5 linked regions of the Canis lupus familiaris genome follow. The protein of the gene in region 5 interacts with the protein of the main gene of each other region in a pairwise test. Links are inferred from orthologs where the notes say so. Each region holds a gene or a part of one and is shown on either strand. Other genes may lie near its edges.

Region 1 (3,519 bases), on a different chromosome or scaffold from region 5:
GTTTCAGTTTGGGAAGATAAAAAAGCTCTGGAGATGGATGGTGGTGATGGATGCACAACAGTGTTAAAATGCACTTAATGCCACAGACAGAACTGTACATATAAAGATGGCTAAAATGGTAACTTTTATGTTACATGTATCTTACCACAATATAAAAAAAATTTTGGTTGAATGAATACACTCTCCTACAACCTTTTTCTACTTGAACTGCTATGAAACCTTTATAAAGTATAGTAGGTTATTGTTTGGCATTCATTTCAATTAAGATAATACCCAGTGAAATGAAATACCAAATACAAATGAAAATATAGGCACTATGTTTATATGTCCAGGTATGGTCCTTTTATAGATTATAGTATGTTACATTAATTTTATTTTTTAAATGAAAATAAATTTTAAAAACTTATAGAGAATTTGTTAATCTTAAGAATATGTCTGAGAGGGATCCCTGGGTGGCTCAGCGGTTTGGCGCCTGCTTTTGGCCCAGGGCGCGATCCTGGAGACCCGGGATCGAATCCCACGTCGGGCTCCCGGTGCATGGAGCCTGCTTCTCCCTCTGCCTGTGTCTCTGCCTCTCTCTCTCTCTCTCTCTCTCTGTGACTATCATAAATAAATAAAAATTAAAAAAAAAAAAAAGAATATGTCTGCGAAACCCCTGGAGTCTACAGATCTTGGTTTGAGCAGTATCACTAAAGAGACATTGTTAAAATCAAAATCTCCATATACCTGGGGTGCGTGGATGGCTCAGTTGGTTGAGTGCATATGCCTTTGGCTCTAGTCATGATCCCAGGGTCCTGAGATCAAGCTTTCTGCTTAGCAGGGAGTCTGCTTTTCCCTCTGCCCTCTTTCTGCTGCTCATTCAGTCTCTCTCTCTCTCTCTCAAAATCTTTTTTAAAAATATTTATTTATTCATGAGAGACACAGAAAGAGAGAGGCAGAGACACAGGCAGAGGGAGAAGCAGGCTCCATGCAGGGGGCCCGATGTGGGACTCGATCCTGGGACTCCAAGGTCACCCCCTGGGCAGAAGACAGATGCTCAACCGCTGAGCCACCCAGGCATCCCGTCAAATAAAATCTTATAACAAACAAATCCCCATATCCTTATAGGCCATCCCTGGAAGATTGCATAAGAAACAAATAATAGTAGCTACCTGTGGGGAGGTCGACTTATTTTTAATCTACAACATTTGGTAGTATTTGAATTCTTTACCATGTGCTACCACCTATTTCAGTAAACAATTAATTAGATCAAGGATGGAGAACAACACCTTTGTAGCAGTTTGGAATTTACCAAGCTTAAATGGGCATCTGGAGAAGGAAAGTGATTCATAGTATGAAGCATTTGAAGCACATCAAAGATATGCAGGCATCAGTGTTTTTAGCCTGTTCCTCTTCCTACAGGTGTCACAGGACTTCCCATTTCTCCATCCAAGTGAAACCAGTGTCTTGAACCGACTCTGCCGGCTGGGCACAGACTATATTCGCTTCACTGAGTTCATTGAACAGTACACGGGCCATGTGCAGCAACAGGTAGGCTGCTGTTCCCAGGGAATGGACACCTCCAGAGGTCAGGAGCCATGTCAAGTTTTGAGTGAATCCACTGGTAATTGATATGAAATAAGTCTCAAGGTGTTATGAATTTCTCATCATTGGAATTACTCAAGTGAGGGCCAGATAACTGTCTAGCTCAAACAAAGAAGATATACACAGGGACCAATTTAGGCAAGTTTGTATAAGAGAAAATATGCTTTGCCTGAGTTTTAGGAGACCTGAGTTAAATCAGTTTGAGCTGGACCAGAGTTCCAATTCCAGTAAAAGCACAGTGCATCATTTCAGATCTTTTTTGCCCATTTTGCTTCTAACTTCCTTAGTCACATGGACACAATCAACTAAAGTCTTTGGGCTTCATTTTTCTTATTTGAAAATGAAAGAGTTGCTGAGTGAAGTAAGTCAGTTGGAGAAGGACAAACATTATATGTTCTCATTCATTTGGGGAATATAAATAATAGTGAAAGGGAATATAAGGGAAGGGAGAAGAAATGTGTGGGAAATATCAGAAAGGGAGACAGAATGTAAAGACTGCTAACTCGGAAACGAACTAGGGGTGGTAGAAGGGGAGGAGGGCGGGGGGGTGGGAGTGAATGGGTGACGGGCACTGGGGGTTATTCTGTATGTTGGTAAATTGAACACCAATAAAAAATAAATTAAAAAAAAGAAAAAGAAAATGAAAGAGTTAAATCAGAGAAAGTGCTTGGCACATAGTAAGCACTTAATAAATATTATCATTAATATGAATTAATTGGAAGTGTACACTATTAATTGTGATTAATGGTGTAGAGGTCAAGGTTTTGTGTCCTGCTCTATCACTTACTAGCCATAGACTGCTTGGCAGTAACCTAATGCTTAGTAACTACGGCTCAGTTCACTTATCCATAAAATAGGATAATAGGTGGAACCTATCTCATAGGGTTGTAAAGATTAAACAAGGTAATTCATGCAAAGTGCCTGGCACATAGTAAGCACTCATTTCTTTAAAGAGAAATTTTAAAGTTCCCTTTTATTTTTAACAGTCTGTAATTCTGTCCATGGTAAGTAAAAAGATTACTGAATTGTGTAACTCTGATTCAGTATGACTGTTGCCCAGTTGATTCTGGTTGAGGAGAAAGGCAGGGACTTCTAGAAAGAGAAAGGAAGGATTCCTGAAATAATGCAGTCAGTACTTTCTGTTTTATAAGTTGGTTGTCAGACTTTTGGTGGATGGACATCTATGGGGCAGAGTTTTTGGAGAATAATACCTTATATTTTCATCTCTGGGACAGGGATTCAGATTCTCTCAAAAAGATTTTATTGCAAATATATAAGCTAAATGTGAGCTTAAAATCTAATCAATGCCATTTTGCTATAAAATCATATTAATGAGGGCACATGAATTATCAGAGTTACAACCCATATATATATTTATGTAGATGAGAAGGCCTTTAGTTTTAATTTTTACAAGTAACACTTAAAAGAAAAAAACCTGTCCTGTATTCCTGTGACTATATGGATTTTATCTTATATAATATGTGAATTCCTGCTTTCCCAAATTCTAAAGATATCTATAGTGCCTCTTTTTTTGGAACAGTAAAAAGCATACTTAATTTCTCTTTCATTTAGTGATAAATGAAGACATTCAGTTCTCTGGAATGACACAGGATCAAAACAAAATTGGCTGGTTGTACGCCCATCTGGTCTGTTTCACCCTATAACCATGCCAGTCTTATTATAGCTGTGAACCTTTATCTTCAGGAACTGCTAGTATCTTTTGCAACATCATCTGACTACACTGTGCCTCATAACCCCAGAGTCCAAGTTTCCTACCCCATTTGTTGTAGAATTCTGTGATTGTATCTACTGCCAACAGAGCCTGATCACCCAAGTCAGTACCTAGCTAGAGAGGCTGGTCATCATAGCCTATAGTCAGCTTCCTCTGCCATTCCCTGTGTAAAATACAGAAGAGGCCCTTAGAAAAAAATGCAG
Region 2 (3,519 bases), on a different chromosome or scaffold from region 5:
TGCCCGGGGTCTCCCATGGGAGCCCTTCTTGGCTGACAGGTATCCCTGTTTCTGTTCTACTGCAGAAGGTACTGCAGCACTGCTTTACTTTGTACATTCTCTTGTACTGTAAACATGTATCTTCTTGCGAGATACAGTGGTGTCTCAGGCATGCATCCAGCCTTCAGGGATCTGATCATCCAGTGGGGGAGATAAAGCATGTACATTGGTCCCTGTGACCTGGAAGCAGAGACTAAGTGGGGTGCTCTAAAGGGCAACAGATCAAGAGCTTTGGGTTCCAGAAGAAGAAAAGATGTACCTTTCTAGGCCGGGTTCTGGGGAGGCTTCCTGGAGGAGATGGCATTAATAGAGCTTTAGAAATGTGAAGATGGGACCAGGGAGCTGAGTGGAGGTGGGACAAGGAAGGGTGTTTGGAGGGGCAGGATTACTCCCTCTTTGCTTTCCTGACTCAGTGTGCTCCTCGGGCCATCCTTTGGGACCCCTGGGCTGTGCTCACCCTGCCTCCGTCTCTCTGTCTCCAGGGCATCATTAACTTGGGCACCAGTGAGAATAAACTCTGCTTTGACCTGTTATCCAGACGGGTAAGTCCTAGTGGCATCAGCAGCTCCCAGGGACTGTCTTTTCTTGGATTTCCCTGGAACACTTCCCTGATAAGAGCCTGCTGCTTGCCTCAGCAGCCCTGGCCTGAGCCAGGAGACCCAGGTTCCAGGTCCGTCTCAGGGACAACCTCTGTGATCTTGGGTGAGTCACTTCCCTATTTGGATCCTGCTTCTTTTTTTTTTTTATTTTTTTTATTTATGATAGTCACCCAGAGAGAGAGAGAGAGAGGCAGAGACACAGGCAGAGGGAGAAGCAGGCTCCATGCAGCGAGCCTGACGTGGGATTCGACCCCGGGTCTCCAGGATCGTGCCCTGGGCCAAAGGCAGGCGCCAAACCGCTGCGCCACCCAGGGATCCCTGGATCCTGCTTCTTCACCTCTTCCCCACACTCAGTCCCTCCCGCTGCTGGCTGGGTCCTGCTCTCATGGGGTGGGGGTGGGATAGGGAGCATTCAGTGGGGTGTGATCAGTATTTAACAACTGGCTCTGGGGTAGGGAGGACTCTGATTTGTCGCTTTTGCCAATTCCCATAGTGTAAATACCTCCACTGTGGCTGATTTCAAGCCACGGGTATGACCTCTCTGCACACAAAGTTGGGAAAAAAGGGGTTGTGGCACCCATTATGTAGTATCCCCACCATCTAGACACAAAGATGGAAATAACCTCAAGAGCACATGTAGGAATGTAGTGACATAATCAGAAGTAGTGATGTTTTAGTTATTACCTTCGTTTATTACTGGTGTTTTTTAATGCAGTGTACTTATTTGTACATTTATACAGTTTAATTAAAAAAATTTTTTTAGCATAGCCTGTAAAATTCCTGGAAACTTACTAAGTAGATTTCTTGAGCTGGTGTGAGCCATCTCTAGCAAACCACTAAATATGCCTGATAAATGTGTTTTCCAAGGCCACGGACTCAGAGTCTGGGCTTGTGGTGGGAGTGACGGCTGACCCAAAGGAACTTATTTCCAAGGGAGACAAATCTAAGACCTAAGGGGAGAGGCATATAGGGAGGGGGCTCAAAAGGCATGGTCTACCTACCAGTTCCCTGCTGCACTGACCCACAGAAGTAAAATGTGAGCCACATATATAATTTAAAATATCCTGTTAGATAAGTAAAAAGAAACTGGTAAATTCATCTGAGGAATATATTTTATTTAGCCTAATATATCCAAAATAGGACCATTTCAACATGTAATCAATGTAAAAAATTGGCATATTTTACGTAGTTTTCATATCAAGTCTTTAAAATCCAGTGAGTTGGCTCAGTTCAGGCAAGCCACACTCCAAGTGCTCAGCAGACACGCATGGCTAGCGGCCTTCGACTAGACAGGGCAGCTCTATGGGCAGAAGGGGAGGGGGAGAAGGCTGGAGTTGTGTCCAAGTGGCTGATTGCCTTTCTTCCTTTGGTTCCCTTCTCAAGACTTCTGGCTTTCCTTGGCACTGTGTGTGCGATGCTCTGGGAGTTACCCAGCATCAGGTCAGGGTGGGGATGGTGTCGAAACAGCTGTATTTTTTAAAGATTTTATTTATTTATTCATGAGAGAGAGAGAGAGAGAGAGAGGCAGAGACACAGGCAGAGGAGAAGGAGTTCTCCATTCTGGGGACCCGATGTGGGACTTGATCCTGGGTTTCCAAGATCACGCCTTGGGCTGAAGGCAGTGCTAAACTGCTGAGCCACCCAGGCTGCTGCAACAGTTGCATTAAAAAAAAAAATTAAAAATATTTTATTTATTTATTCATGAGAGAGAGAGAGAGAGAGAGAAAGAGAGGCAGAGACACAGGCAGAGGGAGAAGGAGTTCTCCATGCTGGGGACCCGATGTGGGACTTGATCCTGGGTTTCCAAGATCACGCCTTGGGCTGAAGGCGGTGCTAAACTGCTGAGCCACCCAGGCTGCTGAAACAGTTGCATTAAAAAAAAATTAAAAATATTTTATTTATTTATTCATGAGAGAGAGAGAAAGAGAGGCAGAGACACAGGCAGAGGGAGAAGGAGTCCTCCATGCTGGGGACCCGATGTGGGACTTGATCCTGGGTCTCCAAGATCACACCCTGAGCTGAAGGCTGATGCTCAACCACTGAGCCACCCAGGCATCCCAAAATGGCCACATTTTCCAAAGCATAGGGTTGAACTGAGCCAGGAACACAATGGCCTGAATCCCTCCAGAAGTTGGAGCCAACACTGAGGGGATGGCACCCAATGCTAGGACCCCTTGTGTCACCCCAACGAGAAGCCGAGTAGCATGGTCTATCACTGCCTCTACAAATCCACCCCTCTGGGTTTTTAATTTTTTAAATATATATGTTTGTATATTCATTCATTCATTCATTCATTCATGCAAGCACAAACATATGAGCAAGGGAAGGGACAGAGGGAGAGGGAGAGAGAGAATCCCAAGCAGACTCTCCCAAGCAGCCCCACAAGGAGCTCAGTCAGGTGCTCGATCTCATGACCCTGAGATCATGACCAGAGCAGAAATCGAGAGTCAGATACTCAGCCCCACTCTTCCCTCTGTCCCTAGCTGAGTCAGAGTGACATGCTGCGGGTGGAGCCATCATTGCTGCAGTACCCTGACTGGAGGGGACATCTGTTGTAAGTAGTTGCCATGGGCCAGTGGTTCTCAGCCCAGGGTGGTTTTGCTCCCCAGGGGACATAGGGCACCTGGGAACACTTATGGTTATCGTAACTGGGAAGGAGGTATTATTGGCATTTCCTGGGTAGAGGCCGGTGATGCTGCAAAACCTCCTACGATGCCCAGGAAAGCCCCCACAACAAATAATGACCCTGCCCCAGATGTGAATATGGCAGGTAGAGAAAGCCTGCTTGAGGCTGAGGGCCTGTCCTGGAGACCTGGCAGTCGTGGGGTCTCCTGGAGCATCTGCAGGGAGAGAGCGTGTGGTCGTCTCACCCAGCTCAGGA
Region 3 (3,519 bases), on a different chromosome or scaffold from region 5:
CAGGCATTTTGCAGCTGCCCCTCACTTGGGAGCTGTCTGATGACTTTCTTCTGGTTTGGCAGGGGTTGTGGGTTTTTCAGGGAGACCACAGAGAAGAGATATCATCACATCCCGTCAAGGGCGTGGACTGTGACCCCGCCAGATCGCCATGAGTGTTAACCTTGACCACCTGGCTGAGGTGCTCCCCGGTTGCTCTGCAAAAGGAGCTCCTTTCCTGCTGTGCACACAGCCCACCCTGGAGGCATGGAAAGTTCTTCCCCACCTCCTTGGGGACAGAGCATGTACATAAATCCTGCCTCTCTTCCCCCACCTATTAGTTACTGGACCATTTGTTTCTAGCAGTATGGACTCATGGGTTGTTTTTTTTTTTTCCACTTTGGTTATAATATATTTATTTCTTTATTTTGTTCCTCAAATTGTTTCTGCTTTGGCCATAAAGAGTTCTGTTGGCTCCTCTGTCCCTTTGACATGCTTCCACCATTGTGAGTTTTTGGTTTGGGTGTTTGCGAACACTTCCTTACTTTCTAGCATTACGAGGTGCTCCAGGCCCATCCCATGTATTTCCTGCCTCCATCCTAGGATCAGCCATTTCTCCAAGGAGCCCCTGTTGCTCTTATTGGAGCATGGTTTTAGAAACCAAGATCCGAGTGCCAGCTGTCAGGCACTAAAATCCTCTGCTCTGGTGAATTTATTCTATTTTGAAGAGGTTTGGAAACAAGTTCTCATTCTATGTTCAAACCGAAAAGTTAATGTTATAAGGCTTTTTAATATCATTTTTCCTGTTCTCCAGCTTGTGGAGAGAGTGATTTCCCAGACTTGGCTTTGAATGTCTTTAATGAGTTTGACCTTGGCAGGAGGCTTTCACACACCCCTTTCCCTAATCTGGATGAACATTTTGCAGTTTGGTCGGTGGGAGGAGGTGTACTGAGGTTGAGCTGGGAGTGTGGGCAGGTTCATGTCCTGCAGGTTCGGGGCTGCTCACTGCATAACCTTTGTCTCTGTTGATGACCTGGGTCAGGCCTCCAGGATTTTTCTTACTCTCCTGATCATTTATAAGCTCTGCTTTGAATTAGGTGGCAAGAGGGAGCTGCTGCAGGATGCAAAGAACATAGGATGGTGCATCAAGAGACCTGGGGTCAGGAAACATGGTGGGGGTGCTGGCTTTGACCTTCCCTAGCTCAGCAGCCCTCAGGATCGTCCCAATTCTATTACAGAAATGCTGAGTCCTACTTCCTGGGATTGGGCCAAGCGATATAGCAAACCTAAAAAGATTGGGAAGAAGAGTGTAGTCCTTTAAAAATCAAGGTTAGTGGGACACCTGGGTGGCTCAGCAGTCTGCCTTTGGCTCAGAGCATGATGGAGTCCCCGGGATCGAGTCCCACATCAGGCTCCCTGCATGGAGCCTGCTTCTCTCTCTGCCTATATCTCTGCCTCTCTCTCTCTCTGTCTCTCATGAATAAATAAATAAAATCTTTTTTAAAAAAAAGTCAATGTTAGCTAAACTTATATCACTTCAGTATAATGGGAGAGTGGCTAAAGAACCAAGTGTAAGGAATTCAGATTTTGACAATTTATAGGTCTCTGTACTTACCCGTGTACCTAGGACTAAGTATACATAGGAGTTAGAATGTGGTCTTAGTAGGTCTGTGCTGCTTGAAACTGAAATCTTAGTCACTTCACCCCTTTTTTTAACAAACCCATCTATAGCTCCAACTAGGTACTTCAGAAATACTTGGTCTTCTTCACCACCACGTGAAAGGACACACTTTGTCAGAGCCTCTGCTGGCTCATCCGTGCAGTGGAGATGGTGCCCGGGTCCCCTGCAGTGGCCGGGCAGATGATGTGGTCAGTGGCTTCCCGTAGAGCACACCCACCGGAGCACCGTGGCCGTCAGCTCTCACCACTTCCCGTGTCAAGTATGTCAGGCTGCCTTTCATTACCACCGTTCTACAAATGAGGAAACTGAGCCTTCAAGGTTTCAGTAATCTCAGAGGCAGCTAATAAAAGTCAGAAATGAACTCATATAATATACCCTTTCTCTTCTCATTGCATAAAAGTGGAGCCTGCCTTGCGATTCCTCCGGGTTTTCGGTGCTAAAAAGTTAGTGCCTTCAGAAATCTTAGCGAAGTGGGAGTCGGCAAGCTTTTTCTTTCCAGTGCTGGAAATCCAGGGTTTATTTCTGAAGTAATCCAGATTAATGAAATTGTAGCAACTCTCTGCCTCCATCTCCCCAGAAATGTGCGGCGCACAGTTAACAGTGTTGAGTTATTGGACTTTGGGTCCCAACAGACTTCTACATCTTAGCTCCGAAATCTTAGAGTTATTGAATCTGAGACGGGAATGGATTTCAGATGAGGTTCTCATGTTCCCAATTAATCTCTTTCCAGGCCAAAATCCAGATGAAAATGGAAAAGCTGTCTTCGACCACCAAGGGGGTTTGTGAGCTAGAGGACTACCATTACAGGGACGGGAGGCATCGCCCTCCCCTGTTTCACACGTGGCCCACAGCCTATTTCTGTAAGTAGTTCTCTCCTCGTTGATTCTCAGGAGTAGAAATCATGAGGGCATTTGTGTTCTTTAGATCTTGATGAAGCTGACAGGCTTTGAAATTCAATTTGAGGGATGCCTGGGTGGCTCAGCAGTTGAGCGTCTGCCTTTGGCTCAGGGCGTGATCCCGCAGTCCTGGGATCGAGTCCCACGTCGGGCTCCCTTCATGGAGCCTGCTTCTCCCTCTGCCTGTGTCTCTGCCTCTCTCTCTGTGTCTCTCATGAATAAACAAACAAAATCTTAAAAAAAAAAAGAAAAGAAAAAAGAAATTCAATTTGAGAGGACCCACTGGAAGGGAAGGAGATTGAGGGGCATCCTAGAATAGGCATTTCTTCTTGGCTCTAATAATTACCAAAGAATATTAAACATAATTACAGACATGGGAAGCAAGGTGCCTTTATTGCCCCTTTAAAACCAAGTGGTCGGGGTTGGGGACACGAGGTGCAGCCCCTCAGTGGCTGAGTCTGTAAAGTGCCTACCTTCAGCTCAGGTCGTGATCTTGGGGTCCTGGGATGGAGCCCCGTGTTGGGCTCCCCACTGAGCAGGGAGCCTGCTTCTCCGCTACCCCTCCCTCAGCTTATGCACTTTCTTTCTCTGTGTCAAATAAATAAATAAATAAACAAACAAACAAACAAATAAATAAAGATTAATCTTAAAAAACACACACACAAACAAACACCAGGTGGTTGGGGCACCTGGGCTGGACCCAGTCCATAGAGCCAGTGACTCTTGATCTTGGGGTCATGAGTTCAAGCCCCACAGTGGCCACAGAGATTACCTAATAAAAAAATAATAATAATAACCTTTAAAGAAAAAAAAAGAAAAAAAACAAGGGTACAATGAATTCCACATCCTCTACAGAGGCAGAATTCTTTTTTCTTTTATAGAAAGATGGGTTTTGGGGTGCCTGGGTTCCCCAAAACCCATCTTGGGTTCAATTGCTGAAGCATCCAACTTTTTTTTTTTTTTAAG
Region 4 (4,074 bases), on a different chromosome or scaffold from region 5:
TCTGCCTTCAGCTCAGGTGGTGGTCCCAGGATGCTGGGATCAAGTTTCACATCAGGCTCTCCGCGGGGAGCCTACTTCTCCCTCCGCCTTGTTTCTGCCTCTGTGTCTCTCATGAATAAATAAATAAAATCTTTTTTTAAAAAAATGGCTGGAGCAGAGGCTAAGAGTGTAGATTTCAATGTGCCTGGGTGCCCCCAAGTCAGAGAATTGCAACTTATTTCCTTACCAGTTTTGGGGACGCAGAAGCAGGAAGACTCAGCCTCCTCTGTCTGTCAGCGGAATGAGGAAGATTCAGGCTACTCCAGGCTCTGCGCAGTTTAAACCAAGTGTAGGGGCACCTGGGAGGTTCAGTGGTTGAGCGGCTGCCTTCAGCTCAGGTCCTGATCCCGAGGGATCCTGGGATTGAGTCCTGCTTCGGGCTCCCGGCAGGGAGCCTGCTTCTCCCTCTGCCTATGTCTCTGCCTCTCTCTGTGTCTCTCATGAATAAATAAAATCTTTAAAAAATAATAAATAAAAAATAAGCCAAGTGCAGAAACAAGGAAAGGGTTACAGCATAACCAAAGGCCCTGGGATGTGAGAATTGTGAACCTTCACCTGTTCACAGAGGGGTCATCATGGCTAAAGCATGGAGTATACATGGGTGCAGACAGCAGGCATTATTTTTAAGGGCCTCGAATGCCGGGTAGAAGAGCTTGAAATGTTTCCCAAGGGCAATGGGGAGTCATGGAGGGTGTGTGAGCAGAAGAGGTGAACAATGAGGTCTCTGTCTCTGGGGCCTGGGAGGGGAAGGGAGTCAAGGGGTGGGTGGCTGTAGAGTCCACGGAGAGAGAGGGGCTGGCATCCCGGTAGAGGGGAGAGGGTTGGGCTGTTATGGAGGGAGATGACGAGGCCCTTTAGAGATGGATGCAGGAAAAATGGGCAGGATGTAGGGGCGATCTGTGCCCTGAGGAATCCAGGAGAAGCAGCAGCTGGCAGAGGAAGCAGAGATGGGAGGGCCGGAGAGGCAGCGAACAAGAGTGGTGTGTTACAATTCAGTTCTTGGATGGTGCTCAGTCATGTGCAAGTTGCTTGTTAAAATTCCCATGACACTGTAGACAGATCCTATAATTAAAGCCCCCCCCCCCCATTTTACAGATAAGGAAACTGAGGCTCAGAGGCGGAAGAGACATGAGATTGGAGGCTGGGGCAAGGAAGGACCGACAGGTCAGGAGCTGGACATGTGTGTCCCACCGGGACTGGAGGAAGCTGATGTCCTTGAGGAGGAAATAGCACAATAACAAGTCACATGACCAGGGGAGGGGGCTTCCTGTTTCCCGGCCTCTCCCAAGCCAGCCTTGGCCAGCCCGGGGCCTAAGCAAGCAGTGGCCAGAGCTACCCCAAGAGTGTCCAGGGATTTGGGCTGCTGACCAAGGTATTCCTAGAGGTACAGAGGAGTAGCATTAGAGCAGGCTGAGGGGACCCAACCCCAAGATTGGGGCCTCCGACTCAAGAGGACCCTGGGGAGGAGAGGTGATTCTTGAAGTCCTCGAGCCAGGTCCAGATTGGGGACCGAGGGGAGCACAGAGGTAGTGAAAGATAAAGGAGGCAAAAGACAAGGGGAGGTGGGAACAAACTTGTGAGGTAGTGAGCTGCCTGTCAGGAGGGGTATTCAAATGTGCCAGCTCAACACTGGTAATTCAAGATCCCTCCCAGCGGGAGGAGATCGATGCTCATTTCATAGAAGAAGGTATTAAGGCTGTCATTCGCCCAGACCAACAAAGACAAGAGCCGAGATCAGGCTGCGGCTTTCGGAAAAAGAATCAGAGGACTGAATTCTGGACAGCAATGAGTGCCCGGGCCACGCGACCCCGAAGCCGGCGAGGGAGGCACGCGCCACCTGTAAGTGCCCCCTTCCCTGCCGCATCCAGCTCTTTGGGGTCACTCACCCCCTCGCCCCCGGCCTGGCTCGGAGCTTGGCCCTGTGGGTCATTTTCAGGGGGAGCTGGATCCCGTGGCGGAGAGTTCAGAGGAGGCTGAGGCAGCCAGCGGGAGCTCTGAGCTGGGCCCTGTGCCATCTCAGGAGAGCTGCGAGCCGAGGCTGCAGGGGCCAGAGGCAGAGGCCAGTGGGCAGGGCCTTGGGAACAGGTAAGGTCCCCTCCGTCTGGGCTCCCACTCCGGCCCTGGTGTGTCTTTCCTCCCCACAGATCTACCTGTGTTCCTCCCTTGCTCACACACACGCCGTAGCTTCCCACTGCCCTCCTTGCCCAACTTTCAAGGCCCCGGATAATGCACCCTCTGTGAGCCAGCCACCCCAGATGACCCCATTTCCAGAACCTTCTGTCTCTCACTTCACCACAGGACCAACAAAGAGGCTGAGGGGGACTCTAGCAGAGGACTGGCCCCATCTCCCGAGGGACCCCGCAAGCCTGCAGAGGAAGGCCACCAGGCCAGAGATGTAGCTCCACAGGATGGGGAGACTGTCCCCCCCAGGCCTGAAGCCTCTGACGTGTTTCAGGTTCTCCAGCATGCTCTGAGCTCCCTGGAGGCGGCGGCGGCTGCCTGGCGCCGCCGGCCCCCCAGCTGTCCTGGGCCCGGGGAGGCAGAGGACAGAAGTGAGGTGGGACCAAGGCCCTGCTTGGAGCAGGAGGGGGCAAGTGGTTGCCAGAGGGAGGCAGCCAGCCTGGCAGAGAGGAATGACTGGCTACGATTGGCCTTGGGCAGCCGAGAGGAGGAGCTGATTCGCACGCAGGCCTCCCTGCAGGCCATCCAGGGGGAGAAGGAGATGCTGCAGAGAGAGGTGAGGGTCTCGACGTATTGTGCTCTACCTCTGAGGGTTCTCTGTCTAAGGGGGAGGCGGGCCTGGCATAGGCAACCTTCCATTGTTTGTTCATTAGAAAAACTCTTACGGAGGGACGCCTGGGTGGCTCAGTGGTTGACTTGAGTTGAGCCTTTGACTCAGGTCATGATCCCAGGGTCCTGAGATCGAGTCCCACATCAGGTTCCCCACAGGGAGCCTGCCTCTCTCTCTGTGTCTCCTCTGAATAAATAAATAAAATCTAAAAAAAGAAAGAGAAAAACTTTTATGGAGCGTTGACTGCTGCAGAGCCCTGAACAAAGGTGCCTTGCCTTCTTAGATAAGGTGGTCAGAGATGCCCCTTGAGGAGGTGACACTTGAGCCAGGAGGTAAGGGAGGAGCCATGCAAGGATCTGGGGAAAGAGCATGCCAGGCGGAGAAGGAGCTCCCTTCCAGAGGTGGGAGTGTGAGTCAGGGAACAGTGAGCAAGCCAGTGTGGGGGTGAGGGGAGGGCAGGTTAGTGATGGGGGCAGATTTACACGGTCTGTGGGCTTCTGGGAGTTGGGCTTTGGCCCTGAGCCTGGTGGGCTCCTGGGGGGTTCCCCCTCGCCCCCCCACCCTCGCCCTCCCGCGGCAGAAAGGGGCGGGACCTGGTGCCGCGGTCACAGGCGCCCTCTGGTAGGCATGGGAGGAACAGCCGGCGGATCCGCGAGGCACTGGTCCAGACACCAGATGGTGGAAACTGTGGAGGTGGCACAAAGTGGGCAGATTCTGGGTGGTGTCGAAGGTGGAGCTGGCAGGTTTGGGTGTGAAAGCCAGAGAAGGGTTGAGGACAAGTCCTGGTTTGGGGGCCTGCGGGACTGGGAGCCAGAAATGCAGGACCAGGAGCTGTTGGGACCCTAATGAGTTCAAGAAACCCCTGAGCCACCCATGTAGGACCATCAAAGACACAGTTGTGGGGTCAGAATCCAGAGCTCAGGGGAGATGTCAGGACAAGAGAAACACATCCCGACCTCTTTAACATGTGGATGGAATCTAAAGCCATGTGGCTGAAGGAGATGGGGGAACAGGCCCTCATCTTGGGCAGGCCAAGGTGGCAAGATATGGGGCCACCAGAGCCCAGCCTAAGGGGTGGGGCCCACTTCCTGGCTGGGAAAGATGATCCCCGCTCCACATTCCTCTCCTCACCCCCACCCACATTCCTCTCCTCACCCCCACTGCCTCTGGCACCCACCACTCTGTTCTCTATAACTGTGAGTTCAATTTTTCGTTTTGTTTTATCTTAGATCCCAAATATAAGT
Region 5 (3,519 bases):
CCCTGTAGGTGACCCAAAGAAGGGAACAGCCCTTGGAGACCTCTCCAGTGCTGGTTTGTTTCCTACTTTGTTTGATGCTTTACCTCTGGGTGGGGAAGAGGCACTTTGAGCTTCCTTTGGGGTCCTGGAAGGTGAGTAGAGCTGGACTCCCAAACACACAAGAGATGCTCTTCAGGCCTCCTGCTCATTTCTCTGTCGTTGATTTTCAGAGCCTGCAGCTGGTCTCCCGAGGTCCCAGGAGCCCACAGGGCCTTCTCTGCCCGCCCAGGTAGGCAGGGTGGACAGACAGGAATGGGCCTCAGGCCCATGGAGCAAATCTCCCGTGCTCAGAGGCAACAGCTGTAGTTTGAGCCAATAGCCTACGGGGAGTCATGTGTCAGGATAGACAGCACCTCCCCCAGCACTTCCCTCAACTTCTAGCCTTGCCATTCTCGGGCAGAGTCATAGTAATTTATCAACTCTGGGAGGGAATTAGAGGTGGCATCCACAGGGGAGGTTGGGGAGCATGGAGCAAGGAATGGTCAGAAAGTAGGGCTGCAGATGTCCCGTCGTCTGTCTAGAAAGCTGCCTCCATACTTGCTGTCTGCTGTTTGCCAGCTGTGGATGGCAGCCAGTCACGCCTGAGCCCAGCAGTGAGGAGGCCACAGAGACATATCCCCAGGAACCCAGAAGCACCTTTGGAGGTGGTAGGGGGTGGGCAACCTGCAGGAAGAAGAGTAGCACCCAACATTTGGTCTGGAGGCCTGGCAGGAGGACACTACTGTCACAGCTGAGATGCTGCTGGGGCCCTGCGGCTGGTCCAGGGATCTGGAACACCTGCTGGGAAGATGTTCTGAGGGGGGAGCGGAGACTCATTCTAACCAGACTCAGTGGGGAGGTACAACAGTTGCATGACTCCAAGGCCTCGTCCTTGGCCTCTTGGTGTCACATCTCTGTCCCCATCTGCAGCCACAGGTCAAGTGCAGGGCCTGGGAGGTCCAGTGAGCTAAGGGCCAAAGGTAGCTGAGCTTCGCTGAGTCCCTGTCCCCTGGAACATCTCCCACCCTCTCCTGCAGCCTCTGCTCCCGGAGGCCCTGGTGCAGAGCCTGTTGCCAGGCACAGAATACCAGAGACAGCTCCTGGCCGCACAGGTGCAGCTTCAGAGTGGCACTACTGAGCTCCAGGCTGACCTTCTGCAGAGTCAGGCCCAGCTGGCAGAGCTGGAGGCCCAGGTGAAGGGGCAGAGGAGCCCCGGGCTGGGGGGCAAAGCTGAGACGGGAAGGTCTCCCTCTGAGGGCCCGAAGGCTTCCCCAGGGAGCCCCCCTTGCCACCCTCCCACCGTCTCCAGGTGCGGAAGCTGGAGCTAGAGCGGGCACAGCACCAGCTGCTGCTGGAGAGTTTGCAGCAGCGGCACCAGGCTGACCTAGAGCTCATCGAGAGTGCTCACAGGTACCCCCCCAACTCCTCCCATCTGGGTTTCCCAAGCCTCAGGGCCTGCCCTAGCCAACGTGCTCCGAGAGGCTCTTTAGGTATCTCACCTCACCCTCTGAGCCCTACGACTGTGTTTTGTTGGCAGAAGCCGAATAAAGGTGCTAGAAACATCGTACCAGCAACGGGAAGAGCGGCTACGGAGGGAGCATGAGGAGCTGTCGGCCCGGTATCTGTCTCACTGCCAAGAAGCTGAGCAAGCCCACGCCGAGCTCACAGCCCAGCACCAGCGTCGCTTGGCGGCTGCCATGCAAGAGAAGGACCAGGAGATGGAGCGGCTTCGGGAGCTGCAGCGGTGAGGGCGAGGCCCAGGGCAGGCAGGCAGGGGGAGCTGGTTTGGAGGATGGCCAGAGGAAGTCCGTTTCCTGGAGACCCCCCAAGCCGTGGCTCAGCAACTGAAGCGTGACCCCTTCCCTTCCATGTGAGGACCAAGGCCAAGCACACTAACCCACCCACCCCCCTTTGAGTGGAGGGCCCATACTCCTCCAACAGCAGGGCAGAGGTCCCTGGCTGTTTAGGTTAATCCCGGCATCTCAAGGACCTAACTCAACACAGGTCAAGTCCTTCACCCACTGACGCACTCCAGTCTAGTGACTAGATCGACCTTGGAAAGGGTTTGCACTTTTGCGCTTGGTGTGTCCATCTGGTTGCCTTTCTAGATGAGAATGGAACTAAGAACAGGTACATAAGGGAGCCAGTCGATGTGTGCAGAGCAGATTTTTTTAACACTTCCCGGACTGGCCAGACAGAAGAGGCTGTCCACACACCCGTCTTTCCTACTGTGTAAAGCATCCTTTGCTAAATAACAGAAGGAGTCTCCCCGTTAGAGTGGATGTGACATTGAGGCCCCAAGACACATAGGATGAGGAGCCAAAGAAGCAGAGGCAGTGCCTGGAGGAGAGGAGGAGGAGGAGGAGAGACGCCAGGAGCGCTGATGGCTGAGCCCTCTGCCGCGGCTCTGCGCACATGCTCACTGCGCCACCCCCCACTGCTCTCAGGGCCTCCATCCTGGAGATGCGCAAGGACCACGAGGAGCAGCTGCAGCGGATGAAGCTGCTGAAGGACCGCGAGATCGACGCGGTCACCAGCGCCACCTCCCACACGCGGTATGTGCAGCATCCAGGCCCTGCCCACCCGAGGGGCAGACCCATGGCCCGGGGCCAGGCTGACCCAGTACCCGCACCCACCCAGATCCCTGAACGGCATCATCGAGCAGATGGAGAAGTTCTCCAGCAGCCTGCACGAGCTGTCCTCCCGCGTGGAGGCCTCGCACCTCACCACCACCCAGGAACGGGAGCTCGGGCTCCGGCAACATGACCAGCAGCTCCGAGGTACCGGGTGGGCCCCAGGTCCTGCCCCTGCACCCCCATCGCACTAGAACAGTGGGTGGGTGCTGAGTGCCCCATGGCCCCCCCAGCGCTGCAGGAGAGGCTGGGCCAGCAGCAGCGGGACATGGAGGAGGAGCGGAGCCGGCTCCAGGAGGTCATCGGGAAGATGGAGGCGCGCCTGAACGAGCAAAGCCGGCTACTGGAGCAGGTGGGCCATCCTCCTGCCGGCAGGGCCTGTCTCCCCAGCACCCCAGGGGTGCCGCCAGGGCTCTCCTTCCCACGCGTTCTCCCCACCTTGCCCGGGTCCGTCACATTCATCCATCCACCGAAGCCGATGTCTGCTGAGCTCTAAGAGCTGCACGTTTGAAGTCCTGCATATCTTTTGTATAGAAGAGCAAGCTCCATTCTCTAAAAAAGTCATTCCTTTTCTTTCCTTTGTACTAGATTATAACGTGATACATTATATTGAAAAAATTAAAATATGATTAGCAACAAAGGAGCAAATTAAAATTACCCACTAGCCAGAGATAGCCACTGGGGACCTCCCATCCCTCCCATAGACATACTGACCTGGTGTGTTTGTTTCGTGAACCATACGTATTCAGTTATTTGGTAACTATTAAGGCCCCTGTCTCGGGCCATGCTTGTGTGTCCCCTAGTCCCCTGGCATACACCGTGTCACACCTGCCCTGGCACACTTGCCTGCTTGGTGGATGGGAGACAG

The links.
Region 1: the proteins of FBF1 (region 5) and TUBGCP4 interact in a two-hybrid assay, tested with the Homo sapiens proteins (2 studies listed by BioGRID and IntAct). The two-hybrid records come from large-scale screens. The link is inferred for Canis lupus familiaris from reciprocal best matches to the Homo sapiens genes FBF1 and TUBGCP4.
Region 2: the proteins of FBF1 (region 5) and ACCS interact in a two-hybrid assay, tested with the Homo sapiens proteins (2 studies listed by BioGRID and IntAct). The two-hybrid records come from large-scale screens. The link is inferred for Canis lupus familiaris from reciprocal best matches to the Homo sapiens genes FBF1 and ACCS.
Region 3: the proteins of FBF1 (region 5) and CINP interact in binary tests that used the Homo sapiens proteins (3 or more experiments, as listed by UniProt). The two-hybrid records come from large-scale screens. The link is inferred for Canis lupus familiaris from reciprocal best matches to the Homo sapiens genes FBF1 and CINP.
Region 4: the proteins of FBF1 (region 5) and USHBP1 interact in binary tests that used the Homo sapiens proteins (3 or more experiments, as listed by UniProt). The two-hybrid records come from large-scale screens. The link is inferred for Canis lupus familiaris from reciprocal best matches to the Homo sapiens genes FBF1 and USHBP1.

Annotation. Positions count from the first base shown.
Region 1 is NC_049251.1:10,523,701-10,527,219, forward strand, and holds part of TUBGCP4 (gamma-tubulin complex component 4), read left to right. Parts: intron 1-1,401; coding exon 1,402-1,530; intron 1,531-3,519. UniProt on the Homo sapiens protein: Component of the gamma-tubulin ring complex (gTuRC) which mediates microtubule nucleation.
Region 2 is NC_049239.1:45,585,491-45,589,009, reverse strand, and holds part of ACCS (1-aminocyclopropane-1-carboxylate synthase-like protein 1), read left to right. Parts: intron 1-521; coding exon 522-581; intron 582-3,121; coding exon 3,122-3,192; intron 3,193-3,519. UniProt on the Homo sapiens protein: Does not catalyze the synthesis of 1-aminocyclopropane-1-carboxylate but is capable of catalyzing the deamination of L-vinylglycine.
Region 3 is NC_049229.1:70,716,482-70,720,000, reverse strand, and holds part of CINP (cyclin-dependent kinase 2-interacting protein), read left to right. Parts: intron 1-2,387; coding exon 2,388-2,517; intron 2,518-3,519. UniProt on the Homo sapiens protein: Component of the DNA replication complex, which interacts with two kinases, CDK2 and CDC7, thereby providing a functional and physical link between CDK2 and CDC7 during firing of the origins of replication.
Region 4 is NC_049241.1:45,884,278-45,888,351, forward strand, and holds the start of USHBP1 (Usher syndrome type-1C protein-binding protein 1), read left to right. Parts: upstream 1-1,274; 5' UTR 1,275-1,411; intron 1,412-1,692; exon of another isoform or gene 1,693-1,750; 5' UTR 1,751-1,824; coding exon 1,825-1,878; intron 1,879-1,975; coding exon 1,976-2,124; intron 2,125-2,337; coding exon 2,338-2,776; intron 2,777-4,074.
Region 5 is NC_049230.1:5,576,715-5,580,233, forward strand, and holds part of FBF1 (fas-binding factor 1), read left to right. Parts: coding exon 1-53; exon of another isoform or gene 54-209; coding exon 210-268; exon of another isoform or gene 269-1,055; coding exon 1,056-1,211; exon of another isoform or gene 1,212-1,327; coding exon 1,328-1,428; exon of another isoform or gene 1,429-1,555; coding exon 1,556-1,762; exon of another isoform or gene 1,763-2,465; coding exon 2,466-2,573; exon of another isoform or gene 2,574-2,658; coding exon 2,659-2,798; exon of another isoform or gene 2,799-2,884; coding exon 2,885-3,003; exon of another isoform or gene 3,004-3,519. UniProt on the Homo sapiens protein: Keratin-binding protein required for epithelial cell polarization. Involved in apical junction complex (AJC) assembly via its interaction with PARD3. Required for ciliogenesis.